3 linked regions of the Drosophila melanogaster genome follow. The gene in region 1 interacts genetically with each later gene. Each region holds a gene or a part of one and is shown in the gene's direction. Other genes may lie near its edges.

What was found.
Region 2: of ec (region 1) and S, changing one suppresses a phenotype caused by changing the other (phenotypic suppression), as found in Drosophila melanogaster (one study listed by BioGRID).
Region 3: of ec (region 1) and nmo, changing one suppresses a phenotype caused by changing the other (phenotypic suppression), as found in Drosophila melanogaster (one study listed by BioGRID).

Annotation. Positions count from the first base shown.
Region 1 is NC_004354.4:3,840,162-3,850,826, forward strand, and holds the start of ec (echinus), read left to right. Parts: upstream 1-5,736; 5' UTR 5,737-6,046; intron 6,047-10,084; 5' UTR 10,085-10,121; coding exon 10,122-10,550; intron 10,551-10,665.
Region 2 is NT_033779.5:1,071,285-1,081,635, reverse strand, and holds the start of S (star), read left to right. Parts: upstream 1-3,820; 5' UTR 3,821-4,801; intron 4,802-10,351. Other genes in the region: Atg4a (Autophagy-related 4a), read right to left, coding at 1-58, 209-392; ast (asteroid), read right to left, coding at 926-2,515, 2,571-3,011, 3,068-3,601.
Region 3 is NT_037436.4:7,974,414-7,985,024, forward strand, and holds the start of nmo (nemo), read left to right. Parts: upstream 1-4,632; 5' UTR 4,633-4,760; exon of another isoform or gene 4,761-5,096; 5' UTR 5,097-5,267; intron 5,268-5,986; 5' UTR 5,987-6,405; coding exon 6,406-6,569; intron 6,570-10,611. Other genes in the region: CG8042 (uncharacterized protein), read right to left, coding at 1-145, 215-349, 407-488; HP4 (heterochromatin protein 4), read right to left, coding at 1,237-1,274, 1,349-1,631; CG8209 (uncharacterized protein), read left to right, coding at 2,112-2,161, 2,255-2,857, 2,914-3,256; POP4 ribonuclease P/MRP subunit, read right to left, coding at 3,572-4,192.

The DNA of each region.
Region 1 (10,665 bases):
TTAATTAGCCTGGTTAATGCCCAAAAAGACAGGAAATCATTTTCTTTTCCTCGCTTTATGCATAGTGTTTCTATTTTCTTCGCATTTCATCGCTTCCTTTTTTGTTTCGTTTTGATTCTCAGGTTTCCCGTCCCTTTGCACCAATAGTTATTTTACTTAAAGTAGCAATCCTTAACTTAACGTTTTGAGTGATCATTATAAATTGGAAATCTTTTTCCACTATATCATTGATATCATTGATATATCATTGATTCAGCTTGCAATATTTTATTTATTTTTTAGTTTAATACGCAAACTGTTGTTATCCGCAGACATGGGTGTACATACACACTTTTGAGTGTCTAAAACCTTTTTTTTTCGGCTGACCAAGCATTTCTTTTCGTTGGCCAAAAAACAGGCTCGTGCTCAGAGCTTGGGGATTTTGTGATTTGGGGGTCTATGTATGTGCTTTGCAGCTGCTCCGACTGGACATGATGGGTGCCGAAGTTTTCTAACTGTTCGCTGACCGGTTTGTGGTTATTTGAGTTGCTCCAAATTGAATCGTACTTTTTGGCATTAGAAGGGCGAGGGGCTTTCACTGGTCGATTGTTAATTACAGCCTTTGGGACGGCTTAATTGATAGATCTAACGCAGGAGGGGGGTCGTGATTCATCCCAAGTGAACTCTGACTTCAAAACGAAAACAACAGCGAAAATGAAGACAATATGAAAATTACCGAAAAGGCCGCCAAAATCGAATCGGCAATCGAAGAGAAACTCCAGACGGGTTTTCCAGTCTCGATCGGTCTGCTCCGGCCACCCAATCTCGAAAGCCTGCGCCAAGCTCGAGACCCACGTCTGAGAAGGCCAAGATTTGGCTGGTTTTGCAGTTTTGTGGCTGTGGCCGAGTACGAAACTGGTTTTTGGCCAGCATTTTGTGGCGCGACTTTTGGGCAGGCAATTCAGTTCTCTTGAGTTTTAGAGCCTTTGTCTAAGCACACACAAAAACACACACACACAGGCACAGCAGATCTCGGCGACAAGATGGCGTCGTCTTAACCGGTTTGGTCCTCTCTTTTGTTATACACACAGAGATTTTGTGAAGATAGCCCCTTCCATGTCCCCAATCTGTGCTCTCTTCTCTGTTGGCCAAGTTAATAATGCTCGCCCGTTCTCTTTTGCAGGTCTTGTGGCACTTGGACGCCTTTCGACGATCGTTTCGCGGCCTAAATCAGCACGTATGCGGTGGCCAAGACTGTATCTTTTGCGCTCTAAAGGTGAGTTCGAATTGATATTCAAGACACAAACCATTCGAAGATCGTAAGACATTGCTGAGAACAGTTTAAAACATATATGGTTTTGTATCTGTAAGTTTATTATTAATGAGGGATTAGAATTAAGAAACGCACCATAAACATTCTAACAAATAATTGTAAGATAGTCTAAGATATTTCTTTGATTTGTTTTATAACTTATTTTAGATTTTAATAATGAACTCTGGCTTTAAAATCATTTGGTATCGGCATTCGAAGTTGACGGTCAAAATAAGTGAAGCATACTTTTGGGCTTCGCAATAGTTATGCTTGGTGGATGTCATGCGAACTTGCACATTAGAGAAATTCTCGTCTGTAATTTTCTCTCGCACCCAAATAAAGCAATTAAGCGCCAGGGTCAGGTCAATTTTCCCAGTTGCCTGTCTGGCTTTTCCAGATTTTCCACCTCCGATTTCCAACTGTTCGGCTGCACCTTAATTGCCAACATGCAGCCTTGTCTGCCTTGGAAAATCATCATTTATTCACACGCAGGGTAGGAGGCCCTTTTCTCATCTGTTCAGCTGCTCAAGTGCGTTTTGTTTTGTGATTTTCCCCAGGCTCAATGTTTTTCAGTCTTATTTTCCCAGGGAATGGGGGAAAACCGGGTGAAAAAATTAAATCCTTAAATCGGCATGGCTGTCCCGAAAATGCAACATTCAATGACTTTACCTGGCGGCCAGGTTCACACCCCCTCCACACAACCTTGCGTGTCCAGGGCTGTTTAGATCCTTGTCCCGGATAAGTCCTGGGATCCTGTAGTCCTGGGCCACTGGTCACGCCTGTCAGGACCTTTGCCGGACCCTCTAGCGTGACCGGCACTCAACGCCTCGTTTGTCCTGTTCTCACCTCGTAAAACCTCGAATTAAACTCGCAGTCAAGTGCAATTATGCAAATGCCATTAGATTCGTTTGAACTTGATATACAGTATAATTCGCTTAGCTGCCTCGAGTACTTTGCACAATGCCTCGATGCAGGTAACTTAAAAATGCAGCTAACTTAATTTTTTTTTTTCTATTTTCTATTTTCTATTCACACAAAAAAATGGAAAAATAATGCAGATATCTTGCCGATGCAGCTAACTATCGATGCAGCTAAGCGAATTATACTGTAATAAAAATACAAAATACGAAATAATCATGTAATAAGAACCACTTATTTGCACAACTGCAGTTCACATTTCATTTGAGATAAACCAGAACGCAGCACTATATCGACTGACTTTTGATATTAAAAAAAAGTGCATAATTACTCCAGAACGGGAAAATCAACAAGTCATCAAAAAACAAAAAAAAAAAGGTCATGATAGGCTGAACCGAAAAAAAAAACTTGGGGACTCGAGAGCCATGAGGAAAACCATAAGACAGTCACCCTCTCAGGCGGCTGGTGCAATATACATATATATAGAAACCAGACCAGCGGATGATGAAGATCATTATTATTATCTCAGTGATCATTAGCCAGAAGAGCAGAGTAGCAGAAAAGCAGAATAGGACCCAAGCTCAAACATAGGCCCAAACGAAAACCCGGAGTAGCATCTTCCATCGTGCTAACCCCTGGGCAAGCGACAAACTCGTGACGTTCGGGAAAAACTCGGGCCGCCAACAAACAAAAGGCTAACGACTGTACGCGACTGTACTTTTTGGGCCAAGACGCTCTGGCCACAAACAAAAAAAACAAAAAAACAGGGTGCACACTGTGCTCACAGTGGGTCCGCTCTCCGCAGCGTTTTCCCCTTCGTTTTTATTTTTTTTTTCGCTCCTTAAACATTGATGACGACGAAGTGGAAAGTGTTGGTGCCTCTTCTTCGGTTTGTTTTTGTTTGACTGTTTTGTTTTGACTGTTCTGCACCTCCATGCCGTCGTGTAGTAGTGCCCCCAAACCCACCGATTTGGCCCGGAAAACCATGGCTGCCACTTGCCCACTTGTTTGCTGCCACATATTAAACGAGAAATGAGAAACGAGAAGGGTTGCCCCTTTTGCCTTTGCCTTTGCCTTTGCCTTTGCCTTTGCATTTTGCATTATTTATACGCGGAGCGGCTAAATTAATTTTTACTCCACCTTTCCCGCGGGAAGAAGACTATTTAATTATGAAAATCGTCGCACTGAAGACGTTGGCCTTTTTCAGCTGGGAAACTCCCACGATTGCGATCGCATTTTGACCGTTCCCCACGCTGATTGTTTCATATAAGAGAGGGCTAAGAACTTCTTCTTGATGAAAAATCGTCTCGACAGTTTTCTCGGCGCTGTCATGCTTCAATGCACAATTCTCATTAGGAAGGGCCCAGACTTTTCATTCTGCATTTTCAGAAATCCACACAACCAAAGGACAAAGTCATTAGTGTGTGAAGAAGAACCAAGAAGACAATGTCCTCTTTACCAGGAAAACGATCCATACAGATCCATCCAAAGTCCGTGCCGCAGACACTTGATGATCGTGTGCCAGTTGCATGGGCTTCCACTTATCGCTAAGCTCTGTTTGCCCTCCAAATATATATGTACATATGTATGGTATATGCATACTCCAGATTTGGATTTTTTTTTGGTTACTCTATAATCTGGATGGCATCTAAAGCAAGTGCAAACACACACAGTTTTTTTTTTTTTTAGTTTCATTGTTTGTTCAGAGCCACCATAAAAAGGAAATCCAAATTACCATGAACAAAACCAGAGTTGGAGGTGTGTATTATGTACTATATAGTGCTGGTAGTATGTACATACATACATACATATACATATGAGAAGGGCACGAGTGTAGAAGGTGCTAATCGGAGATGCAGAGACAAATCCATTTCCATCTTCGCCATATCTCAATCAGTGTGATTCACTCTTCAGCAACGATCAAAAAAAAAAAAAACCCATGTACGTTGCCGATCTTTACCTTTAATTTTGTTAAGCTTTATTTCGTTTCTTCTGATTTTCGTTGTGCTTTTTATTATGTCTTCAATTTATTCGATCGACGTGCGATACGAAGGTTTTTTATTCGTACAAAATACGACAACTTTTTATTTACCGCCATGGCAAAGAAATGCAGTCAGTCGGCGATAGAGAATCCATCAATTATTGAATAGTTTTCTTAGTTTTTGTTTGATATTTTAGCCAAGATCGCCTTTGACATATTAGAGAAAGAAACCTCAGCGTGTCAATCCATCAAAATGGCCAGTGATTTGTTTTCGGGCTATCTAGTTTCTATACTCCCCAAATTGGTCAAAACGTTTTGGGCAAAGTTGATTGATCAGTTCTGTGTCTTGGATAAAAAAAAAAAATTATAAAGGCTAACGACATTTTAGTTAGTGATCATCCAATATGTATCCCTATATTTTATCTAATTTTGATATTTGAAGCCAATGCTGTCAAATATAAATGGAACATGCTGGGTATTTAACATATGTATATAGTTTTGTGACGTTTGTTATGCGAGTGTGTCCTATGCCCCTTACATCTGCATCTTGGTCTTGTGTGCAGTTTACTCTGACCCAATCAATCAACTGACGTTACACCTTCATAGTCTGGCCATGAGTCACTGTTTGACTCCAGTTTCGATGCCCCAACTCTCGCTTCTTTTTGAGTCATGGACTCGTTGGCGGGTGGATGGTCCTAAACTTTTGAACCCAGAGAAGAAAGAGGCCTTTTGTTTACTCCTCGTTTTGTTTTTTTTTTTGTTTTTTATTTCGGCATCGCAGCCGCAGCAACTCCTATCTTACTTTTACCGCTGCACTCAGCTACAGCAAATACAACAAATTTGGGCTACAAGGTTTATGGACGATCGAATATATTAGGGCTTTCCATGGAATCGCTCGGGGTTTTTTTTTTCGTTTCGTAGGCTTTGCACATGCGCACGCGTTTCTCTGGCATTCCCGCTTTTACAGTATGACTCATGAATCTCAAGATCTGCAATCTGCGCACCAAAGACAACCATGGCCACAGACTCCAAGCTTGGTCTTAGACCTATGCCTATGCCTATGGGGTTCTGGTCTATTATTTAAGCTGCAAGATGATGCGGACTTTTTCTATATACCGCTGGCTGCAATTGTCATTTTGTCAAAGGTATATCCGTGGAGGCTTACAGGGTGCTTCGTCTGTGGAAATCTGAGAATCGAATCGGAGTGCTGAGAATCTCGAGAGAAGAAAGAGAGAGAGAGAGAGAGAGAGAGACGCTGTTTACCTGCTCGAGCAAGACATTTACCTGTTTGGCCTACTACAAGACAAACTCCCCCGTTTTCGAGTTCGGATTCGGTTTGGGTATGGGTTCGGGTTCGGGTTTTTGGTTAGGGTTTGCTCAGGTGAGTTCGCTGTTGATATAACTGAAGTTCTTGTTCCCCTGGAAAACCAGTTTCTCCGGAGAGCCAGCACTGTATCTCCGCTCTGGACTGTGCACCTTTCTCTCTCTCTCTCTCTCCCTCTCTCTCATTTCGGATGGCCAAAAGCCAAGCGGCCAAACGAGTTTCAGTTGCGATACAAATTTCCCAGTCGGCGGACGTGTTTTCATCGGCAGTCGGTCGCTTTTGCTCCATCCATAAACCCCATCCAGAATCGAATCTCAGTGGAAATCAAAGTGAAGAATTGCGCGCGCGGCAAAAAAATAACGCTGATTCCTAACGAGTTCAAATAAAACTGATTTTTTTTTTGTGCCTTGTGCCTGCAAAAGTTTACTCAACACGAACGACCAATACATTCAGCAAAGAGATCCAGAGTTGTGCTCAGATCGAGATAAATCACTGGATTACTTTTATAAATACAAAACAGAATATAGCTTGCGTAAGTTGAAAACTTAAACAAAGCTCAAACAGAACTCAAGTTTTTGGCCAGTTTTTTTTTCCCCCCCCGATTTGATTATTAGAAATGAAACAATGAAGTTTGAGTTTGAAGATCGCAGCTAGGTGGTGCTCAGTTCAAATCGAATTACCTGTTTCTTTTCCGTTGGTTATTGATTCTTTGATATTCGACGAGCATGTGGGTCCGGTCCGCGTCAAAAATCATAGCGGTCCAAATGGCTTAAGACCGCCAACCGCCAACTGCCAACTTGTTTTTTCCTCACCTTTTGTGAAGATCTTTTGGTATGTAAATGCCTGGCAGCCCGCAGCCTTCGTGGAAACCTGCTACGAACAGGTACAGTGGGCACTCGCCTAATGCATTTATGCTGCTTATTAAAGATTAATCTGTGCGCCGCACGCAGGCTCTTTTTATATGCTCGTACGTATGTACATATGTACATATGTACATACATACATATATCTCTTTCTCAAGACCCCTGGTTTCCCTAGGGAAAGTCCAGGGAAACACGCGATCTTCAAGTGCGATTTTTTCTTATATCCAAAAGGGGAGTGTTTTAGTTTAAAGTTTCAATTTGCATGGACTCTCAACTCCACTCCACTCCACTCCACTCCCGCAATTGAAATGCAGGCCGTCAACCCGAAGTTGGGCTCCTTCTTCTTTTGGCCCAAACCAAGCCATATGTCACTAGTCCAGCCATCATCATCATTATCATTCTTGGACTCCTCTGTCCCAGTCGAATATTAAGCGGCAGATTTGTGTATTTATGGGTAATTCTTGGGCATCCAACGCCTGCCTAGCATATGTAAACATGGAGCCACTTGAATACAGACATTAGCCAGAACTACTTGAAACTCGCCTCACGTGCGGAAATCACTGCTACAGGTTGCCGTTGCAACACTCCCCCTTCGCCTTGCCTCGCACAGGAATCAATTTGAATATCTCTAGGATTTGAATATGAAAACGGTGTTTTGTATATCCAGAGAGTTTTCTACATATTCTGCTTGTATTTCTCAAAGTAAAGCATAACGATATACTTACGATAAACTCTGCAGCCGACGACAATGCATTAGAATAGTTCTTGCCATGTATCTCAACATTTTGTATGGCTCATTGATCTGCCAGTCATCGCTGTTTTCGCTGCTGGATTCTCGGCTTAAGACATCTGCAGCATGGAGTGCAAGCTGCTGGTGGCAGGTTGCTAGTTGCTAGTTGCAGATTGTTGGTGGGCTATTGCACGTGTGGTGTTCCCACATTTGGCCAGATAGCCCAGGTAGACTCATTCTTTGTCTCAATCTGGCTGAGAAAAAGGTCAGTTCTGGCTCTTTTGTTGCCGCTGTAATTGCGGAAGCAGAAACATTCAGCTAAAGCCAGCGTTTTGGCCCCCGCTTGTGGCTTAACAATTAAAGCCCATAAATCATCAGGCTTGCAAAAAGATAAATAATCATAAAGCCACCAACAAAAAAACAACAGAAGCGAGCAACAATAATAAGGAGTAATAACAATAAATGAAAACATTTAGCTGCAGGCCAGCTTGTGTTGCCAACTCGTTTTGCATTCGACAACAGCTGCCCAAAGCTCTCAGTATCTGTATCTGTATCTGTATCTCTAACTCTGGTGTGTATCTGCGATCTATGTACATACGTTTAGAGGTGTGCAAAGCCAAAGTCCCAAAGCCCAAAGCCCCGATCTATAAATAGTGTCGGTTGGGTTAGTGTCTGTCTCAATCTCAAGGACTGCCAGTTCGGTTTGCCCGCCAAGTGTCGCCTCATCGAATCTCGAGACTTGAGACTTGAGCGAAACTCGTGTTTCGCGACATGATCCACAAAATGGAGGACAAGACATCTGGCTATAGCGATGCACTTTTGAAATATCGTCCATATAACGTTTTTTTTTTTTTTTGGGAAAAGCAAGCGACTCTAATTTCAATTTGTTGGCCTAATCGCCTGTATAATATCATTTTAATTCTTAGACGTAACTTGATTACATTCCATGCGGTTAAAGCCATTTTACAAACCACTGTCATTTTGTTGAAGACCCCTAGTAGTTTCATTCGGGGAGTTGATCGCATTTCAAGATAAGCCCCTTGTGCTCTGCAGTTGCGCACTTCGCGCAAATCGTTGGCCAATTGCCGACTAATTACATGTACATGGCCTAAATGATTCGCCAACTTCCACGTTTGTGTGGCAACAGTGTGGTCCAGTGCCTGAAAAGCGTCCAAAAAAGAAAAAAGGCCCAAAAGCTGGAATTAAAGAGCGTGACGTTTGATTTTAATTAGCATGCAACTGTTTTGTCCAATGAATGCCCAATTATATAACAACAATTGAGCAGGGCGGGAACACCCATTCCGCTGCAGTTTATCTGGAAAACGACAAGTACTGGAAGTTCGAACTTCCGCTCGCCAACGTCGACTTTTCCGCTTATTAAACATTTTTCGGAGTTTCGGGTCAGATCGCTGGCCATAAAATCCAGAATTGTCACCCAGTTGTTGTTACTGCGTGTGGCACTTAAAAATACATAAGCCACGTTTATGGTTCTTTAAACGGGCTGCAGTCATTCGCTCTTCGTTTTTCGGGGAAGATAACATAGGTTTTTGAGAATTTTTAGCTAAGAATGCACTGCTGATTGTAAGTTCACCTGGTCTCTGCTTAATTGTGTTAATATTTGTCTGTATATTTGGCTGTGTTTTCTCTCTACTTGAACTTGAGCAGTCAGTCATGCGAAGTGCAAACTGATGAACTCACAACTCAAACTTCTTTCCCCCAACTTTTCGTCCCTTTTCACGATCTCGCTCAAAACTCAAACAGTTGACAAGTGTTAATTGTGCCGATTCCACTCCCAATTTCGATTCAAGTATTTCGTGTGCAAAACAGATCTTTGCGTATTTATTTATGAGGATCGTGTATACGAGTAATGCGAATAAGACACTTTAAAAATCGATTTTCAAATTAAAATATCTTATGTTTGTTATTCGAAAGGGAAAATTGTTTAGCATATATACTTATTGCCCTTTCGACATTTTTAAGATAATTAAAGAACGGTCTTGGCAAATAAACATACATACATACGTACGTGTTTGCAACAATAATGACTTTTTAATCATTTTTAGCAACACAATTGTGCTCTGTGCATATCAGCCTGCATTTAATAATTTTAGGCCAACTCATTGTTCGTGTCGGGTTGCCGTTGCTTTGGCCAAACAATTGTAATTGACAGCAGAAAAGGCAAAAGGCGTTTACAGATCTCAGCCATATGTCGCATATGGCGTCATTCTTGTACCCCTAAAGCCCCGCCGATGCCCTGGTAGCTCCATTAGCTTGGACCTGCGGCTCCAGGTCTCGGGTTCCATCGAGTGGCACTTCATTTTCGAGGCGTCAGCGGTTGTCAGGCGGCAACATTAGACCGTTCTGCCGCTGTACCGCTCGGCGCTTACCGCTCACCGCTTACCGCTTACCGCTTAGCACTGCACATGCAATTTGCTGTTTTTAGCTTTGCAGCTTAGCAGTTTTGAGAAACCGCTGACTGACTTTTCTGGGGCTGGAGAACTTTGTCTCGATGGCTTGGAATATGGACCGGTTTGTTTTGCTGGCGAAACTTTCGATTGGCCGCAAATGAGGTCGAGAGCAGGCCAAAAGCGAAAGTCAAGTCCAGTCGAGTTGCGTTTAAGGCTTAGGGTGTGCCAAATGATGGTTAAAAACCTGTCGCAGCTGTTATCGTACTAGTACTCGATCGATATGCCAAGAAGTGCTCGTCTCGTACCTACCATTAATTGCCTCGAATCGCTACTTAACTTCCTCTTTAATTGCTGGGGGTTGCAGATTGCAAATTGTCGTTTTTTGGGGGCTGACTTTGCACTTTAGTTCGCACTTCCGCTGGCTGACTTCCCCCTTTTTTTTATTTGCATTTTCGAGCTGACTAGAGTAAAAAAACACTTAACACCCTGCCTGGCCAAAACTTGAGAACTGCATAAACCGGCGAGTGGAGAGGTAAAAGCTAAGCAATTTTGTAAAACCATTTCCACAGTGCCATGTTGTGACTCTGATTACCGGATAACAGCAAGATGATCAAGTTCCGCTACAAAAGGAAAGAACCCACGAATGTGGTGGGCGTAGCAGCCCCAACTGCAGGAGCAGCAGCATTGGGATCAGGAGCATCCAGCACCCCGGGCACATCCCCAACATCACCTGTTTCCGTTCCCGTTCCCGTTCAAGCCCACCATCCCCATCCCCAGTTGGGGCACCTGATCAGCAACAATGGAGGCACCCTGCCAAGGAGTAGTCCCCGCAAATTAATCCTGGATGGAGCCGACAAGTCGGCCACATTGACCCGCCAGCAGTCGAAGCAGAAGTCGGTCAGTGCCTTGGCCAAAGTGGCCAGCAGCGTGGAATTGGCCGTAATGGGCTATAATAGCACTGGCAATGGCAATAGCAATGGTCATATCAACAGCGCGGGAAATTCGGAGAGGGATCGGTGCATCAATGCGGTTATCGTAAGTTTAGGGAATAATTTAACATGGGGGAAGCTCTAAATGATCAACTTTTATTAGTCTAAAGCCAGAAATGAAACGCACACAAGTATTCACATATTTTGTTTATTATTTAGTA
Region 2 (10,351 bases), on another chromosome or scaffold:
CCATGGCGATATGTGCACCACAGGCGCGACTGAATGTCCCGTCGGATGAGCTCTAGCTCTGAAAAGGGATAGGGTGTTGATTATGGATTTCAGTTTGGTATCCATCGATGATAATCGAAAAAAGGTTTGGGAAACCCCTTATGACTCATGCTGACCAATATGCTAGATTTGTACCCATATGACAGCATTAAATAAGGTCTCATCTTACCCTGTATGGCGTTGTACTTCTTTCCCAGGACCCAGACGTCGGTGTTTCTTCGGGGAATGTCCTCCGGCTCTCCGCTGCCCACCGCCTGGCCAACTGCACTAGCGAGGACGCTGTCTGGGCCCAAGTACGCCTCGAAGACGCTCTCCATGATCCGCGCTAGCTGGTCGCTGAGTCCAACCAGCATCTACTGCCCGGTGCGCTGGCAGAAGGAGAAGGGGGTGGACACCAGGGCCTCCGCTGCTCGTCTATACGATAATTGCCTTCGAATGACGTTCTGTTTTTCGGGTGGGCCTTTGTTTTGGCCTGTGTTTTCGCTGGCAGCAACGGCAATGCTCCTGCTTCTGGCCCGAGGTCACAGGGGTTTCATTTGTTGTTGGCAGTGACGGGCGCTGATTACAAACTATGCGATAACCAGCATTTGATCAGTCTGCGGCTGGTTTAGTTTGATTTATTTTTCTTTTTTGTTGATTACAACGCAGTGACGTAGCTGTTAGTATGACCGCAACTGATAAGGTATTTTACTTTGCCAAAATACCGAACCTTGCACTTAACATGACCATAACATAGGAAATAACAGTATTTTTCCAAACTGTTAATGAAATGCATTCAAAAATGAAGTTTTTTAAAAAATATTTAATTTTTTTCTTATTTTACGCAAAGTATAGATTTGTAACAATGTAAAAACTTCAAAATTGCACGTGCGGGACTTCAAACTAGCTACGCTACCTTGAGTGCGCAGAATTTGTTGTTCAGATCGAAGAAGTCGTTTTCTGGATCGGCATCCTCGACCATTTCCGCATTGGGATCCGCGATGGCCTCCCTTAGCTCCACTTTCCTAGCCGCCTGACGCTGCTTCTTCAATCGCTTCTTCTGCAGGGCCTTTGCCGCCGTCGGATCCACCTCCAATCGCTTCCAAGTTGGTATAAACTCCGCGCACCAGTCGTACAAGTAGCAATAGAAATCGAACATCAACTTGGAGTCGGGCAGCAGGAAGTTCTCAACATGGTAGCGGACATCGGCACGATTCCTCAGTACATCATACATGTTGTAGAGAAAGGCGCCGCAATAAAGCTGGTTCATCCTCGGACTCAAAAGTGGAAAATCCAAAAGAGAATTTAGCCCATTGAGTTGGTAAACCACAGCCTGAAATTCAGCAAATGCGTGGATAACCGTGGTGGAGTACAAGTCAAACTTCTTTTTGAAGATCTCCTGCATATGGAAGTGCGGCAGTAGGCGTTCCTGAGTTAAATAGCAGTCCGATTTGGGTACATGAGCCATCCGATCTGGAACAGAAAGCTCTAGCAGAGCAGGTTTGATGCCGCGCTTAATTCCCTCGGCAGCTTCCTTATCCCTCACTGCTCGCTCTGCTTTCAATGTCTTGCCAAATCTTTTAAGGAAGGTTTTCACCTCTCGTTCAGCAGGGATTGTAACATCTATGGTTCGTAGGACAACCAAACTAAGGATCAGCGAGTGAAGATGCAGCAAATCACAGTGCTCCGAGCGATGTAACCAGTAGATAATGGCCAGAAAGTACAGCCTCAGGTCCTCCGGCAACTGGTCGAGCTTGCTGAACAACTTCTCCGTATCCGCATTGGGAGCATTGTCTTCGAATACAGCTCTTAAATGCCTAGCATCCGGCGAAAGAGGATCAAACGGATAGGCAGGCTTCTTTTCAATGGGCATCTTGAAATACCTCACGTTCGTCACTCGCAGAGCTCTGGTGAGGTAGGTGAGATAGGGGACTGTCGAACCCTCTATATCCATATCCACTTCTAATGGTAGCTCAATTTTCTCACACTCTACGTGATGGAGAAGAGCGAACACGTAGTTCAGGATGGGTAAGGCCACTTCATTGGAGTCGTGGAAGGGAAAGTGCTCGATCTGTGGGTTGTTGATGTACTTGCGCAGGTGCATAAGGTCCACGAAGCTGCGGGGCAGGTGCGCGGGATATAGTTTGTCCAGAAACCATTGTGGGAAGAGTAGCGTTTTGTCTTCCACTTCCAGCTCGAGGCCTTCATCCGCCTCCTCTTCTTCTTCATCACCCGAATCAACGTCTTGATTTTCTTCCTGCTGCTCCTCATCTTGGTTATCAGCTTCCTCCTGATCCTCGCCTTCTTCGACATCTGAAAATTTTTCATCGGAGCTAGACGAATGTTCATCGTCGCTGCATTCCTCTTCACTGACGGGTTCTATATAAGGAAAAGCATTCTCGTAGTGCTCATCGAAGTAATCGTAGGCGTGGCACAACTCGTTGGAGTAACCAGAGATGGCTGCATTCACTTGGGAGACCAGGGAATCACGCTGGTTCTGCAAGAATATTATTTTTAGCATAAATCGGAAAAAGATATCTCAAGCAACGAACCTTTTTCAGTCTCGACAGCACTTTAGCCAGAGCAGATTCCGCCGTTTCCTCCTTCAGCCATGTGAGGATGACCTGTATGCGCTTCTGCTGGAGCTTTAGTTTGCGACTTCGTCCTGCTTTGCCCATTCCCGCAGCAAAAAAGTTCTTGAAGGCACTGCGGGCAATATAGTCATTGCCCAGGAGGGCGGCAAAAAGGGGTAGCTTCTCGGGACTCAGAGTTCCTCGTCCGCAGAGATGGGACACCCGGTAGATGCAGCAGTCGAGGTACTTGTAGGTCTTGGAACTGCCTTTTGTACTGGCTGTCAGCCCTGTGGTTTGAATGCCAGTCACAATCTTGTTGGCCCTGGTGCGCTTCTTCACATTCTTGGCCTCGCAGTGACGTAGATCTCGACTGTCCTTCTGGTTGCTGCTGTTCTTGTCCTTCACCTGCTTGGTGAGAACCTGGGGTACATGGAATCGCTTAGTATATGCTGGAATCCAAATAACTTATGCCTTACCTTAACAGTCAGCGTGATCAGCGGGATGTACTTGACGTTGTGGATGTAGAAATCCGAGTCGTAGGAGAGCACTGGGCAGTTAAGTTTCCTGGCCAGAGCAGCCAACTCGTCGTCCGCCTCAAAGACGCACCTCATCACCGGGACTCCGCAGTCGCGCACAGCGTCCACGAAAACCTCCTTGAGGTGCAGCGGGAACAGCGTGATGGATGCATTGGGGTTTATCTTCTTGATCACGGAAATCTTGTTGCGCAGCCGGGTGCTAACGGTCCTCAGCTTGCGCTCCTCGTACCCGCCGTCCATGAGCACATAGGGCCGAATGTTGCACTCGGCCAGAACCTGGAAGAACTGCACCACGGCGCGGTAGAAGTCGTCGTAGTCGCCGCCGAAGGCGGAGTAGCTCCCGGTGACATCCTTGTACAGATTGCAGCTCAAGTTGTCGCCATCGATGACCAGCGCCGTGGAGTGCAGCTCGTGCGGCTTAAGGTAGATCTCCGCGCGCTGCGCTATGTAACTGGTCAGGCCGCGGACTCCCATTTTCCCGGCGCTTGCCTATTTTCCCAATTTTCTATTTACCTATTTTGCACAAACTTTAAAAGCGTGCTAATAGTGATGTCAGTTTGCAGTGCGATACTATCGATGTACATATCGATTCTTTAGCGTGGCCGTTCGCTGCCGTTTGGTATATATGAGCGATTAGTTTGGTATCTAGGGTATTTCCCGCAGCCGGATGGTATATTCCGGGGATGGCGCCGCGGTCACACTCTGTCCCGACAATTCCAACCCGACGCTTGTCTGCTCTCCACCCGCGCATCAAACGTCGAAAAATCGTAACGTCGCGAGTGCTACGCGGTGGCCAGGAGAAAAATTCGCCAGCAATAGCAACACTTGTACCGAAAATCTAAAGGAAACTGGGAAATGTACTAGCACAAACACAGCGAGTGCAGTGGAAACCGAAATCGCCATTGAATCGAAGAGCGCGTGCATATATACGGGTTCCGTTGGTTCCGTTCCGTTTCTTGTCGCTTTTCTTGCACACACTTTACCACTTTACCTTTGCGTCTCTCGTTTCGTGCGTGCGTGTGTGTGTGCGCGGAGTGTGGTGTGCGTGCGTGTGTGTTGTTTTTGTGTGTTCGTTTAACTAAAGCACAGGTAGAAGGAAAAGCAGCGGAAAAAAGAAAACCATGGGCGAAATATGCATATGAAATTAAGTAAATACAAGGCGACAGCAGCAGAAAACATCCAGTAGCAACGAGAAACAACAACAACAATAACACACGTTAATAACTCAGCTTTGTGCGTCTTTCGTCTGCGCTTCACATAGTATTATTTTTCTCTTGGATTTTCCACACAAAAACACCATGAGTGAGCGAGCGAGAGCGACGATCGTGATCACCGTGTCGTGAATGAATTTTTGTCAGTGTGTGCGAGGCGTGCTCTACGCACACACACACGTACGTAAACAACACAACCACACACGGCCCATCATCGATCACCAATCACCTGTGTGTGTGTGTGCGGCATTTAATAAATAATTGTGTGCAAATAAATGTTCCAAAAGGAAATTGTTAAGCCAAACCAGCAAAAAACGTAAATCAACCGTGCGATAATTCGTCCTAGAGTTGAAAAAAAAAGACGGTTCAAAAGCAAGTGCGTGTGTGCAGAGTTCTTCTGGTGTCTTGGGAGCTTCGTTTTACGGATACGAAACATATATAACTTCCCTCTTTGCCGAAAAAGGTGAGTTCAAAATCAGGGAAAAATCCCTTTCCCATTGGCCAAGGCCGTTCCGGGAAATCTGCGAGTGGTCTTGGCCCACGTTTCCTGTCTTCCGCACATTTTCACACGTCCTGCAATTGCAATTTTTTCCGATTTCCCAACTCTGCACCTCCTGTATGTTCGGCGATTCCCACGCCTCTTTTTTTCGGGGCAGGTATTCGCAGGTAGCGGAAAGAGGAAAAACCCTCGGGAAAGCCGATAAACTAGAGAAAACCTCTGTTGGTGGGCCGAAAAAACCAGAAAAAATAGAAGAATTGAAATGTTTTCCCTGGCTGCTGAAACAGAGAAAATCGGGCGAAATTAGGCACCCGCTGATTCCAGAAAATTGCTCGTATAATAGAAACATCTCACTGGGGGAGAAATAAATTATCGTTATTATCATCTGCAGTTGCAATTTGGCACAATTTCGATATGACTGTGCTCCCATTTGCCCGGCGATTATGTAATTTTCGCCGCTGTGCTCGAGAATCAGGTTCATTTTCCATATGAAAAAGGGGGCTTTGCTGCAGACATTGCATATATGCCGACGATCTGGCGACCACCGACAGTTGCCAGCAATTTCCGGCGCTTTTTGGCAACTGGAAATCGAGCACAAAAGTTCATCCCAGGGCTTAGAGAGCCGCAAAAGGCGTAGCCATCCATATTCACCCCATCCCAAACGCATTTCCCAATGTGGTTTATAGTTTTCCTACAGCTGTTGCGACTGCGATTTTAACGATTTTTACTGGTAATCCGGGGAGGAAGTGAAGTTCATAGCGGTTCGACCAGTTGATACCTCTTAATAAACTGTTTGTAGGGCATTTCTGAAAAGGAAATATTCCAAAGCGAGATTTGGTTAGTCTCAATCCTTAGAACAGCATTGCTCACTTCCTTACACAAGTGCATACTACCCTCGCATACCCTGTAATCAGTGGGCACCATAAAAAGAGTTTGAATTTCAAATAAAATCCACTCTCCGGCACACACACAAGTCCACTGGGGAGCAGCTGCTGTGTGTCTCTTTGTGCTTGGTCTCAAATGACACTTGCCAGCGCTGCTGCTGCATATAATTCCGAGTTCTGGGGAATTTCCTAGTAGGAAGTGCAGGGGCCACAGCGAAAACACCAGCAAGAGTCGCACTTGATGATTGTCTTGCCACGGCTATTGCCGTCCCACTCTGGAAACGTAAATAGAGAGGCCCGATAAAGAGCGGTCTCGAACTTCCCCCAGTTGTGTTGCCTCTAACCCAACTGAAACTGAGTGGAATCGAGGTTTTCTGGCGGCATAAAATTTGATAGCAATTAAGATATTTGTTAGAACTGTTTCTAATGTCACATGTGCTGCGTGTAGGAGTCTCATCCTGCACTATCTTGTTTTTCGCACTTGCCCCGTTCCCATTTCCCGGCTGGTACTCCAGTTACTTGCCGCAATTGACCAATTAAACAATTGTCTTTGATTAAATGTGCAAATTTGTCTAATGTTCTGCACTGCGCGTATGTGCAAAGCGGATGTGCCCGCTTAAAGCTGCGCTTAAATTGCCCGCGTAATTTGTCACTGATCTCACTTTCTCAATTGGCGATCTCTGATTTCTGAGATTCCTGATCTCTGCCTGGCCAATTAGGCGTCATTATGCGGCAGGCAAGAAGGCACCGTTAGATGGAGCCATTGCAACAGTGGCCAGAATAATAACAGCGACTAGGAAATAATGGCTAATGGCCTATACCTTTGCCCATCTAATGCTTCTTGACCTACAAGCCTCCACAGGCCTCTCGCGTTTCCTGCCCGCTTTCATTTACTGTTAATTATTGTTTAGAAAAGCGCGGGGGCGGGGGCCAATAATAATAAGAAGAAGAAAAAGCAGCAGCATTGGCCAATAAAAGCTTGCAAACAATTTCGAATTTCCAAATGGTTTGAAATGCAGCCCAGCTGGCAACAGAGGAAAAGAGGCAGCCAAATCAACCGAAAGGCAACACGGGGCCATAACAACAATCTTGCTCGCACATTCATAATAGGCGAAACAGAGGCGGCCAAAAAAGTAGGACTGTTTCGTACAAAAATATATAGTAGGATCTTAACGAAATGTAGTTTTCATAGGATCAAATGATAATGTACTGTGTTTATTCGCAACTGAAAAATACAAAATATTCTGACCAACTGTATTTTTAGATAACAGCAATATTTGTAACTACTCTATTATTCCGAGCCCTACTGTACGCATACACACACACACACACAGAATCAACAAATAAAGTAATTATTTCCTTTCACATGGCGAGCTACCTCCAAAATCGGAAAGACATAAAGAAGAATATAAAAAGCGGAGAAGCCCCAAGACCCAAAAATAAAATCCAACAAAATCCGCTGTCGGCGTCGATTCCTTTGTTGTTGTTTTGCTGCAGCGGTCCCAACACGTGCAATTGGGAGCGAGCGAGAGGGGGAGAGTAGGAGCGAAAAGAAACTAATAGGCCAGTAGTACGAATCGCAGAGGAGTGAGCAGTGCAGTGGCAATTTTGCATCGATCTCCCACTCAATGGGCAAAAAACGGAGCTCGAAGTTGTGAGTGACATGTGTGAGTGAGGCTCGAAGTGAATGAATGGCACAATCTGTGATTGATTCATGCACAACTAGATGACTAAATTCGCTTTCGGCCCATTCTTTCATATCCGTTAGCTGGCCACTCCTTTTGTCCAAGTTTGGTCAACCAAGTTGGCTCGCTCTTTTGCCATTTAATTGATTCATCCACACCAGCAGATATCTGAAATCTGAATCGATCCCAAAATGACACCCAATTTCACTGTTCTGTGAATGAATACGGTTTTTTTTATCACGTGTATGTGGGTGCGAGTGCGCCATCGTCTTACGTTGTAATTTCGCGACTCTATGTCCGTCCTTGTCTGTTGCTAATAAATCAAGACCCATGTTCATTTTGCAACGGCTTTGGATACCCTACAGTGGGTTGCTTCGTTTTGTCAGACTCAACAATAATTGCAAATGGTTTTCTGTGGTTATTTACAATTATGGCTATAAACCTCATTAAAAGTCTTGAAAGCTGCTTAAATTGATAATTACAGTTCCAAAGAAGTAATCACTCATATTCATTGTATCATCATTTGGAAACATCAGTCATTGCAAACACATCAGTCATATCAGTGTCGAGGGTAATCCGCATTCGATGCAACGCTTTTGCCTCTTGTGTTCGCTAGTTTTTGCCATTTATGCAGCTACCGTGGGGCGCTTACGTCATTGGCCGGCTTGGTACATATTTGGCCATGTTTTACTGTTGTCAATTGGATGCTATTTGTGGGCTAAATTTCTCGCTGGCGTCAACACAAAATATTGAAAGTAGGCAGCTCGGATTGAGTTGAGTCATTATCTTTTCTTTTCTCGAGTTGTGAAATTTGCTCCCGAATACCTCGGATGCGCAAGTACATATGTATGTACATACATATGTGCCGACTGTTCTACACATTTTCTCAATTAATAATTTCGAGCATTCAGTTGGAGGGAGAGGTGCCCATACATACATATCTACATACATATATAGCCCATATATCATTGCCAAGATCATCTATTGGCCTCTCTATAGCTGCGTCTATAGCGACACAATGTGTCTGAGCGAAATCCGTTTGGCATTTATTTACTTGTCTGTCTTCTGTTTGGCCAGTTTCATTGGAAAATTCACTTTTCGCTAAACAATTTCCATAAATGCAATAAATTTATACAAATAGCCCTGTTAATGGATCGCATCGATCTGCTTTACAAAGGTATTCGGAGCATTGTTTTGATTTGCCTACGCCAATGCAGCCAATTCGAAATAAATCGAGCCACATTCATGAATGAAATAATGAATGGGAATGGTGTTATGAACTTAAGATCGAATGCGGTCTACTTTTTCGCCTTTTTGCGGTTGGTGGTCTTGTGGTCTGTGACGTCAGGTGATAATATAGTTAATGATAATCAGTGAATCTTTTTGAAGGGATTTTACCTCATTAAATTTTAGTGGCAAAATTGCTTTATGGATTAAGTGATTCTTAGTACGATTAACGGCTCGTAATGCTTTTCATCATCGACCTGGAAAATTTCCAGAACTTAAGGTCTGGCATCTGGTAAATGGAAAATGATCAATGCCGAAACTTCTTACAAACCTTACGCATTCTATGAAATATTTATAAAATTCTCCCCTAAAATAGAGCTGAGCTGGCATTATTAACCTGCGGAATCCACATTCAGCGGAATAGATCCCACTCATCATATCGTTATCCAGCGCAAACAGCTGACTAACCCGGCGATCGCCGAGGGGTCCCAACTACATGGACGTGGATCCCGACCGAATGCCTGTGGGTGGTGCAGCTTTTCATAGCCACCTACACTAACTCACTGCGCCAATATTTACACAACATTGATGGACATATACAGCGTGTTTACCTACTTTGTAGGTGCTTCGGTTTCGGTGCCCCTTGTTATGCGTACAAACATACCCCTAGCCTAGCCCTATGTACCCCATAGATCGGGCTATTTACTTGCGTATTATTCTGCCGCTATTTATAACTGGCGTACTAATTTGTAATTTGTTTAATGATTCACTTAGCGAACTTTATGAAGTGTGGGAACTGGAGTTGTGAGCCCTGTATCTACGGGCACTGCTATCCACAAGCCACAATCTTGCAACTGCAGCACTTGGCTTGTTGGCCCAACTCGTTAGTCGCGATAAGATTGTTTCCGAGAAGTCCATAAAGAATATTAGCTTTGATTTGTGTTTAGCATTGCCCCGATCTATCAGCGTTACCTGTTGTGGGGGCTTATAACACAAACCATTTCCATCTATTTTGGCTCTTCATCCTCCGCGAGGTGTAAACAACTTCTGGCCGGGATCTTCGCCGCCTTCAATAAACAACTAATTTCAATGGGCTATACACAAATTAATTCGCAATTTGCTGATGAGCATCTCTGCCCGACTTCTGGAATTGTCTCGGCATTTTGGGGTAAAGAGATAAAAGCAGACAGTACAGCCTTAGGATTCCCAGACACTTTTCTTATCGATTACATCAAAGTGCTGGTTATTCTCGGGGCTTTAAAAAACCAGTTCTCATTTCTCAGTTCTCAGTTCCCTCTTTGAAAAAGGTAAAGCCGAGTGAAAACCACAATAATAATTCCCATAATTATAACAATGAACCGCACAGATACAGAAATCCGACCAAAAAAAGAGATATCCAAGTGTCGCCGTCCCCAAAACAACAACAAATAAAGCGACCAAGAGGCAGAAGAAGAGGAAGACGAAGAGCAAGAGGTGGACGAAGAAGAATCACAGTGTGGTTGCTTTGAAATACAAACTTTTGTGGTTACAAGTTTTTTCTAGACCACAACACAGCAAAGGCTGTTTCTTCTGTCTTTCGCTCAATGGCAAAGCCAAAGAAGTTGTGGCTGCCAAAACAAAAACAAAAACAAAACAGAAAACGGAAAAAATAACCAAGAAGAACCAGAGATGGATGGTTGGTTGGATGGATGGATGGCGAAGGTGTGTTGTGTAGGAAA
Region 3 (10,611 bases), on another chromosome or scaffold:
GGCTCGGTTCGTTTTCCCGCCAGGATCAGAACCTTATCGATCTTTTCCGTCAGTTCATCTACGCTGGCCGTAACCCCAGTGGCTATCTCCAGAGGTGTACCCGTTTTGCCAATAAAGAAGAGCGAGGGAATTGGCACGATTTTGTCTGGAAATCAATAAAGAACCATCAGAGATATTGATATTGATCTGGATTGCTAGCCAGAATGGTACCCACATAACGACATGAACTGTCCGTAGGCGGAGCTATTTCCCTGGACTTTGATGGCGACAAAATCGGAGGTTTCCAGGCGGGAGCGCACCTGACTGTCATCCACGAACCGCTCTAGTTTTCGGGTCATTTCGTCCTGGCCTAAAAAGCAGGTGAAATTTCGCAATGACGTGGTAAAATTGGCAATTTACTAATTACCCTCGATGAAGACGACAAACACGGCGCCCTTGGCCTTTGATGCCGCCACGGCCTCCGCAATGTTGCCCTTGTGCCAGTTCATGTTTGGTGTTGGAATAACGACTCGGTTCGGATACGGGTAATTTTGTCTGTTTTTGTTATTCCAGAAATATTTTTCTGCCGACAGCTGACTCCCGGGTATCGATATATAGATCTGTCGATAAGTGGTCTAAAAATATATGTTTTTAAATAAAAATAATTATTTTAAAATATTTAATGTTCTTTTATTCCCGTTTTTAAAGAGTGAAGTGTTGTATATTTATTTTACCAAAGTTTTAAATGAAAAGCTGATATCTAATGGTCGATAACACAACTCGATAAAATCTTATTGCCGCCATTTTTTAAATTCATTTTTTGAAATTTTGTGAATATTCTAGAAATTCCAAAAAAATACAACAATTCCTTACAAATTTAATCAAACATTTGTTGTTGTAAAAAATCACAGCACATACAATTATATGCCGATGAAATTATCCATATGAAATGGTCTACATAATAAATCCTATCTGGTATATAAAATAAAGTGGATTCAAGTTTGCTAGATAACTTATAGCTAAATATGAAAAACAAGAGAAAATTCTATTTAGGCGCACGAGTTTGTATTAAGAAATCGAGCTTGATTTGCATAAAGTCTTAGATAAGGATCTTATACATATATATTCAGGAAAAGGATAGCCCCGCACATCTATTTGGTTTATCTTGGACATGTACTCTGTGTACTTCGAATGACTCCAAGTGCGATTAGAAGTTTGTCAGCTGGATGCGTTGATTGCTCTTTGAGTATGAGACGACTAGATTGTCAGATTAGACTCCTGATCGCTGCCACTATCTGTAAGGATAACATGAAGAAGAATGCTTTAAAGTAGTCTGTGGCGTAGGTTCCCTAGAAGACCTGGCACCTACTCTCGTCAATGTCGGAATTCATGATGGAACTGGCCGGTGTCACGGAAATCTCGCTGCGCTCCACGTCCGGCAGTCGGGCTACACGTACAATGCATCTCTTGGGCTTCGGTTTTAACGGGAATGGACGGGAATTCGGAGAAGTCGACGACTTGATGCGCTCCAGATTCACGCGACACTTTCGGACCTGGTACTCCACCTCGCGCTCCACGCTCCGTTCGCCCTGCACATTGAAGTAGGGATGGCGCGGAATCTTGACGATCATTTTTTTAGTCTTCGGTGACATGGTTTTGATTATAAAATTGTTGAAATTTCTCTTTCAAAGTCGAAAAAACCTATCTCCGTAGACGCCAAATTTGCAGAGTTGGTAAACGTCGCAGGCAACCTCGAACTATCTATGGTGGTGGTGGCACTACACTACTCGAAAATGATGGGTAGATTTCAGCTATATGGAATGCTTATTTAAAAGTATGTGTAATATCTATAAAAAAAATTAAAAGAATTATGGAATGTATTTGGTTGTCCGCTCCTTGTCTTAATTTATTTACTATATATTTAAAATTTATATTATATTTAAAACTATTTATTTATCATTTTTGTTTGCCATAGCTGCAACTATTGCATTACACCGATATATACCACGGGTCGAGCTATCGATAGTTATCCATCTCGCCTGGCTTTGTTTTTGTGTGTCATTGTTAATTTTTCGTTTTCATAAATATACGAAACTGAACTATTAATTTTTGGGACGCAATCAGCCAACGCTATGAGTGAAGTGCAGACATTGATGGATATGGGATTCCCTCGGGAACGTGTGTAAGTATCGAATACAATGGCCAACTGGTCACCGGCAAAATAAGTTACACTGCAACAATCGAATTTGCTTTAATCCTGAAATATATTTCACAGTGAATATGCACTGGAGGTGACCAGTAACAAGGGCGTAGAACCGGCAATGGAGTGGCTGCTGGCCCACGTGGATGATCCAATACCATCCCGTCAAGGTGCCGGCGAATCCCCTGGTTCCACAGCTCAACCAGCTGCGGCTGTGGATTCCTCGGCCGCAGCAGCTTCCAGTAGCACCAGTGGCGCAGGTGAAACCTCTGCTCCGGTAGCCAAGTCCCTGAAGTGCGACGAATGCGGCAAAGTTCTTAGAGATCACACCGAAGTGGAGTACCATGCCGCCAAAACCGGTCACACCAAATTCTCCGAATCGGAGGAGGAAAAGAAGGCGCTCACCGAGGAGGAGAAGAAGGCCCAGCTGGCCCTCATCGAGGAGAAGCTCAAGCAGAAACGCATCGAACGCGAGGAGCGCGAGAAAATCGAAGCCCTGCAGCGGGAAAAGAATCGCATCAAGTCCGGCAAGGACATGACCGAGGCCAAGCGGCGCATGGAGGAGTTGGAGATGAAGAAGATCGTTGAGCAGCGCAAGCGCGAAAAGGACGAGGAGAAGGCGGCCCGCGATCGGGTAAAGGCTCAAATTGAGGCGGACAAGGCAGCACGCAAGGCTAGGTAAGGATTAGCCCTATCCTTCCACTTCATAATTCATTATAATTCATGGTATGCAGAGAACAAAAGGAATTGGGCAACGCAGAGCCAGCTCCATCCGTGAGCTCCACCACAGTTTCGTCACCACCGGCCGGTGTGAAATCTCCGCCGCGAGACTACACCGAAACCCGCATCCAGGTGCGCCTGCAGGATGGCTCAACACTACAGGAAACCTTCAACGTCAAGGAGCAGCTGTCCGCCGTACGTGTGTTCATCCAGATGAAGACCGGCATCGAGTCGCCCTTCTCTCTGATGACCACCTTTCCGCGCAAGCTGTTCGCCGAGGACGACTACGAGAAGCCGCTGGAAGTGCTCGGCTTGGTTCCATCCGCTGTCATCACCATGACCAAGACGCCCGCATAAATCTTTCCTACAAACTGGATATATTTGAATCCGGGTAATCTCTCCCATAAACTAGAACCTAAATACGAAAAAAACGCGGCGCGAAATATACCCCCCCCCCCCCAAAAAAAAAAAAAAAAAACAAGAAAAACAATTAATGTACGGTTTTATATATATATTAAACACAACAATCTCAAATACAAGTAAAGTTTTAGAGGATCTTTGAGGGCAATTATTAAATTTCTATTGAAAAGCGATGCTAACTTTCCAATAAACTTTTTTCCTTAAATTACAATAGGATTCAATTTCTATGGCTAATGATTGGTCCTGTAGTTCCTACATGAAGGGCTTCACAAAGTTCTTGATCTTCTTAACGCTTCGCTCGGCGGGTCGAATGTTGAGGTGCTGCCCGAATATGGTGAACTCCATGTTGCCCACTTTCATACCAAAGACGCACTCGCTCTTGGGTATTGTGCGCAGCCGATGGTCCTTGCCGAGCAGTTTCAGCACGTTCTTGGTGTCCATGACGCAGATGCCAGCCAAATTTTCCAGGGTGGAGCACTTGGACTGCAGCACCTTCATCTTGGCACCGTGCAAGTCCAGTTTCACCAACTTGCGGCTGAACTCGTCGTAGCGAGCATCGTGCACCTGGGGCACCTCGTCACCTTCCCTCAGCTCCAGATGCTCGCGTACATAGCCCTTCCACAGGTGGTGCAGTGGCAGTGCCTCCTCGTACTTCATCTGCTTGGTGGGAAGAGTGTTCAAACCAAGTGCCGCATATTCCCGGCGACTCAGCGTACTGGATTTGTGGGCGCGACGTTTTCGGGAGTGCTGCTTCTTGATCTTGGTGCCCTCCAGCATTGTGATGTGATCCGGATTGATGTTAACATTGCAACGCTGGTGCGGAATCACCAGATCTGAGATAAATTCCCTCAATTCACTTGTCGCGTGTTCCATTGCGTTGTTATTTAGTTTTATTTATTTGGTGATCAACAATATATCGATAGGCGCGGAACTCTATCGATGGAAGAAAAGGCGATATATTAATATTATTTTTTCAGATGCATAGCTGCATGTGCACTTCGTATAATACAAGCTAAATAATAATTATTGCTATTAATTATTAGAAACTGTATGTACCTGCAATTTTTCATATTCAACGCTGCAATTTAAAAATAACGTACATTCGGGGCAATCTGGCGTTGCCATCCTGCTTTTGCATTTGAAATGTCATAAAATACAAAAAATACCAACGAAATAGAGATGGAAATAGATATAGTGCGGGCACTCTAAAAACATCGATAGCCAAACCTTGAATTAATATACGAGTGGAAAACATCGGACCTATCGATGTTTCTATCGGTGGCCGACCACCTCTAGCAACGCCGAACATATGTTTCAAGTCTCTCTCAACTTTCGAACGGAGCGGAACGTCGAGCGCACGAATTCGGAATTATCGTTGAAACAAACGTCGCCGCGTGTGATCGAAAATCCAAGTTAGGCTCATTCGTTGGGAAGCTGCGAGGTAATCAAACGCCAACCGACGACCAACATCCGCCCGCCCCCCTTTTAGCCACGCCCCGCGGCCCGTGTGATAACAAAGATAATGCAATAAAGGGCAACCGTAGAAAAAAAGCTGTGAGAGAGCCAAGAAACGTGACCCAGGCAAAATTTTGTTTGTTTGTCTGGCTCTGCATATACATGTACATAGTTTAAACGTGCGTGCGATTGTGTATGCGCGTGTGTGTGAGCAGCCGTCGCGTTAGTAGTAGTAACACGCCAAACAACAAAAAATTCATCTCGCGTTATTTACAATAATAATTAAACAAAATTACAAAATTGTTTCCGTCTCGCCCGCTAGTTCACTCTCTCTCACACACACACGCACGAATATTACCCCCGGCGCGTTTTACTTCCATCTCGCTCCCACAAAGGCGGAAGAGTTAAACACAAAAAAAAAAGAAAAATAGAAAAGAAATTATAAACGAAAAACTGCCACCGCCGCTGCTCAATAATTTGTGCATTTTTTAAGGTAATTTAAAGTGAAATGGAATGTCTTGTTTGCATAGGTTAGGTTTAATTAGTCCGGAAAGCTAAGCGAAACCCTGGGAAATATTACATATCCCCGGGCGAATTTCTTTTGTCCCGTTACTTTTCGATTTTCATGCGAGCGTTTTTTGATTGCGTTCATTTTCTGGCGACTTGGGGGTGCTCGCCATTGTTTGGTTTTCAACATTTGTAAATTTGCATGAAAAGTCGGATTTTAAGTGATTTTTGTGTCTTTTGAGCGGCTTTTTGCGCAGGCAGCGCAGTCCGAAAATCACTCAGAATCGCACTCACATGCGCACACACTTACAATTGTAATACACGGACGCGCCCCGGTCGCGACAGCTAACGGCACTTTTCATGTCCTCTCGCGCGCTCTCTCTCACTGTTCTCCTCTCTTCTTTCTTTTTGATTCCTGTGCAGCATCATTTGCCACCAAAAATTCGAAAAGCAAACAAAAGTAACGACAATTAAAGTACAGTGAATAATACCAAAACCGGATTAAATTAAATCTAGCTTTTACAGAATATACAAAATATTGAGCCTAGTGGTAACTAGTAACTAGTGGTCGAATAGGAAATCAATTCTCAATAGTTTTCTTGCGTACTGTGAAAATAAATCAAGATTGTAAATTCTGTTAGCAACGTTTAAATTATTCACAATTCAACTGTCTACAAATGATTATTTATCCACTTCACTCCGCAGTTTCATCACAATGTCCTCAAATCTAATTTAAATAAGTAAGAAGTGTAACAAGCGACACGCAGCGAAACAAATAGCGCTGAATAGAGGAGCACGCCAAGGCAAACAGCAACAAATGGCCAACAATTGAATGGCGGCCATCAGTTGGCCCCAGCGGCATCCATTGAGCAATCAACACCATTTCTCCCACATCAAATCAAGCACCACTTCCAGCAACACCATCACCTCAACCACCTCAGTCACCACCGCCGTCACAGCTTTGGGAATCAGAACCACAGTCCAAGACCCAGTCGAAACCACCACCACCACCAGTAAAAGCCACAGCCTAGCAGGACCACAACCACTGAGCTCCATCGCCAACAAATACCAGAACCGGGTGCAGCTGCTCGAATTATTTGGAAAACTTGCCGCGTAGTCCATCAATGAGCGTTTCGATGTCACTGGTACAGGGTGGTGCTGCCGGTGGTGCGCCACAGGGCGCCAGCGCAATCTTGGCCGCAGCGGCTCCCTACTATCAACCGCCGGCTGTTCCCCAGGATGTTCAGCCGGATCGTCCTATCGGCTATGGAGCATTCGGAGTTGTCTGGTAAGTATAATGATTCTATATCTCAGTGCAATAATCCAGATTATGGGCGAAGGGTGTTGCCATAGTATTGGTACAATCAAATTTTTTCTTGGTTTAGCAAGCATGGTTATTTTCGGGTTGTTTTGCTGGTTGTCCAAAGACATCCCGCCGAAATGGGCAATTATATTTGAGAATTATAAGACAATAGGTGGTATAGAATGCAGAAAAGGGTGTATTAACGTCATATCCTATTATATGCTTGTGCCCCTTAAAGAATTCATGTAATGATAATTTGTAAATGATTTCATTATAAACACATTCGGTTAAAAAGTTGTAAGACCGACTTCGAATCCAAATGTTAATACCCTCCTGTCAATGTACTTTTATAATTCAAATATCTAAAGATTAAACAGTTGTTCTTTGACTTGAAAAAGTCTTTGTTCTATTCGAAGAAAGGGTATCTGCAGCGTCGTTACTTTGCTGTGCGATTTTATGTCACGGTCTCGCCGTGGGTTCAGCAACCTTCTGCTTAGGCCTTTGATTCTGTAACCCTTTTGATTGTGTTGCTGCTGTTGATGTTGATGTTTTGTGCAGCGGGCAACGTCAACATCCTCGTACTCATTTCGATTCAGAACCTCAGTCCCGGGTCTCAGCTAGCTGTCCTTCATGGTTTTGTGCCTTTGTGCAGTTTTCAACGTTGCTGCGGCCCCCCGAGGGTGGATTTTTCCTATAATATATTTCTTACCCTAAGCGCGCTGGCTGGCTGACTGGCTGGCTCTCCGTGTTTTGGCCTCCCTCCCCCCCCCTCAATTTGGACTTTTCTATTTGCCCATCTCCTCGTTTATCGGCCTCTCTCTGCTTTTTTTTTTCTATCCCCTCGACTCTTTTGATTTACATTTGTGTGCAAAATTTTACATTAATGGTTGCTTAAATGGGGTGAGCATTGAATATTTGTTTGTTTACTGGGTAAAGTAAAATATCTAATATGGATTAGCAACATTTTGTTATCAATGTAACCGAAAAGCTGCAAATCTATCAAGCAAATGATTTTAACATAGCACAAAAAAAGGTGGCAATATGAAATCATCATATCTATTTATTATTTAACTCGACTTCCTATCAATTTATTCGTAGTGTAGCCAGAAGTTTGGCAACGCTGCATTTACAAATTTCATTCACGTGTAAAACGGCATTTCCGGCTATAATCAAAACGCAAAGTGAGCCCAGTTTATCGGGCGGGTCTTTTGAGGAGTGCTGCCGGTGGGGGAGTGGTCGTCGTTGGTCGTCCGCAGGGAAGCCAGTTAAAAACTGGCACACAAGGGGCCCCGATGGTTTAGGCACAAGGAAGTGGAAGTCCGAAGACGAGCCACAAGTGGAGGAGCCCAGTGAAATACACAAAGCGTGGCGGGGCTAGTGGAAACTATGGGAGGCTAGAAGAGGCCCAAGAAGAGGCCCAAGTATATCCCTCGATACACCGCCTTCCCTTTGGCCAACTGAAAGTGGAGCCCGCGAAATGAAGTCGTTGACGTTCGGATTGGCTTCACACAGCAGTCTTTAGTAGCAACGGGTCTACCAGTTGCTAACTTGCAATAATATTCATTTACTTTCAAAGTTACACCATTGTAAGCCATTGCCCCAAGTCTAAAAAGCTGCATACTATGCTATTATTAATCCCTTTTTTAGTTGGAATATACAAAAGTTTCTCAAATCAGGATATATAGGTCATATAGTTTTGGTACTCCCAAAAATCCCTGATTCACTTTTGAAACGTTTTACTCCACTAGACTAAATTGTGTAAGTTGCTGAAGTTATGAGCTCATATTTTTGTTGTTCCAAAACATCGAAGTTATGGAAGTTGGACTGCATATATCTGCAGATCCTGTCCAGCAAAGTAGGGGAAGTGCATGGAGAGCGACTAGAACTTGGGCTGGAATGCAATCAAGCGTTAAATTCAAGAGCCAAATGTCGAACTTGTTAGATGCAGCCGGTCAGCCTAGGCTAGGAAATGTGTTTTTCGTATTTTTTTGTTTACGGCTTCTTAGTTAAAGGTGGTGCCTGTTTTTCAGAGAGGCGGTGCGGAAAGCCCAAAAGCAGGTGAAGCGTGGATTTTCAGGTGCGGAAGGAAGTGGCCGGCAAATGGAGTGGGGCCCAAGTCGTAAAGTAGTTCTCGTTTTAAGTGAACTTCGGCAACGTGGCCAAGTTAGAATAGATACTTTAACAAAATCCGCTTAAAAAAGTTTTGGGCAACATTAGTTGTTGTCCAGTCTCATGAAGAACTTTTGCAGTGAAGTAAAATGATTTATTTGTAGTTTTTTTTTTAACCAATAACATAGAATCCAATTGATAGAGAGTAACTGATTAATTTGCATAAAATTCCGTTTAAAGATATTTAAGATATTGGCCCAGAATTAAAACCCTTTAATTTAACTGTCTCGCCCTCTGGTCAATAAACGCAAATGGCTAAAATAAAAACCGAATTCGATGCTTAGTGCTAGATTACTCAATTTATAATTTGTTTCCCAGAAGTGGCACTGTAGAAACGAAAGAAATTCGAGGCAAACGTAACAAGAACAACAAACATTTAACCAATTAATCCTAGACACAGTTCTACGAAATTTCCCCAATGCAACCGACTCGTAAGAGTCAAGAAACGGCTGAGAATTATATGAAAATATATATATATATAAGTGTGTACGTATATAGTTATATATTTGTATCCGAAACGTCGGTATGTATGTACGGATGGACGGGACAGACGGCGGGCGACTCAGGTTGCGCAGCAGAGTCGCATAAGAAATATGCTATAAGGTATCCCAAAAGACGAGCGAATGAGCGAAGATCTTTGGGCTTTACTTTAAACTACCTGCAACTGGTTTTGGGAGGTGAGCAGGCAGACGACGAACCATTGGACGGCGGGACAACTGGACAGTCGGACGGAAGGTAGGAAAAAGACAGTGTAAACCTTTTGCCTGCATCGACGAAACTCGCTTCCTGCACGAATTGTGGCCGGTGGACTTCTCGACTCGATGCGATTCAACTCGAGCCGACGACTCCAGTCGTCTCCAGTCGACTCCATTCGGACCTGGATCTGGCTGGACCTGGACGTCAGCCTGGCATCCCGGTGTCTTGGCCCGGTCAGCCAGCCCAGCCTCTTGGCAAGGTGTCTTTGGTCTAGGCTCACTCAGTCACTAACTCACTAGCAACTGATTCGGCTTAGCCAGTTCAGTTCCTGTTATTTTTAGGCTGTGAACCAGCGTTCGGCCTTTGCCTTTGTTTTGGCCAGTTACCCGAGTTCCCTTGTTCCCTGGCAACAGGCTCATTTGGCCAAGAACAATTTAGAGCCTTTTAATAGCCTTTATGTTTTATTGGTACACACACATAATGTGTACATTGTGGTTACTTTGGAACGCAATGTTGAAATGGGACAAATATGCTGTAGTAAAATGTTAATTAAATGTCTCGCAATAAATGATATCTGTCAGCAAGCAAAATGTTACATTGTAAAATTGATATAACCGATATAACAAGATATATCCTATGATAAATATTCTAAGCATCAAGCTTTAACTAAAAATAGTAATAAACAATGAAACAAACCTTTTCTGTGCATATCTTTGTCCTACGCCAAATGCCTAATGAATATTTAAGGGTATGTTAGTCCTCGACCTTTCGTTAAGTCTGAACTTTTCGCCTGCACAGAGAGTCCCCCATCCGATTTCTATCGTCTCGCAAATCCTGTGCTAATCTCAGTCGGGGAGTTCAGTTCCCGCATGGAATGGCATGGTACCTTTTGCTTTTGGGCCGCGTCCAACCACCGAAAAAGATGTGTGTTTGTTCAAAGGGCCAAAAAGGAAAGCAGTGCACATGCATAGTTTTATTTACGATACCACTCATTCCAAACTCACACAATTCCGAACTCGTACAGTGGCTATAGGCCATCCACTTTTTGGAACAGCTGCTGTCGGCTGATTTTGATGCTTCGATGTGTTTTGCTCCTGATGCTGAATCCCCCTTCCGAATTCCCTATCCTGTTTATGGTCTTTTGCTGCGGTGGTTGCTTGCT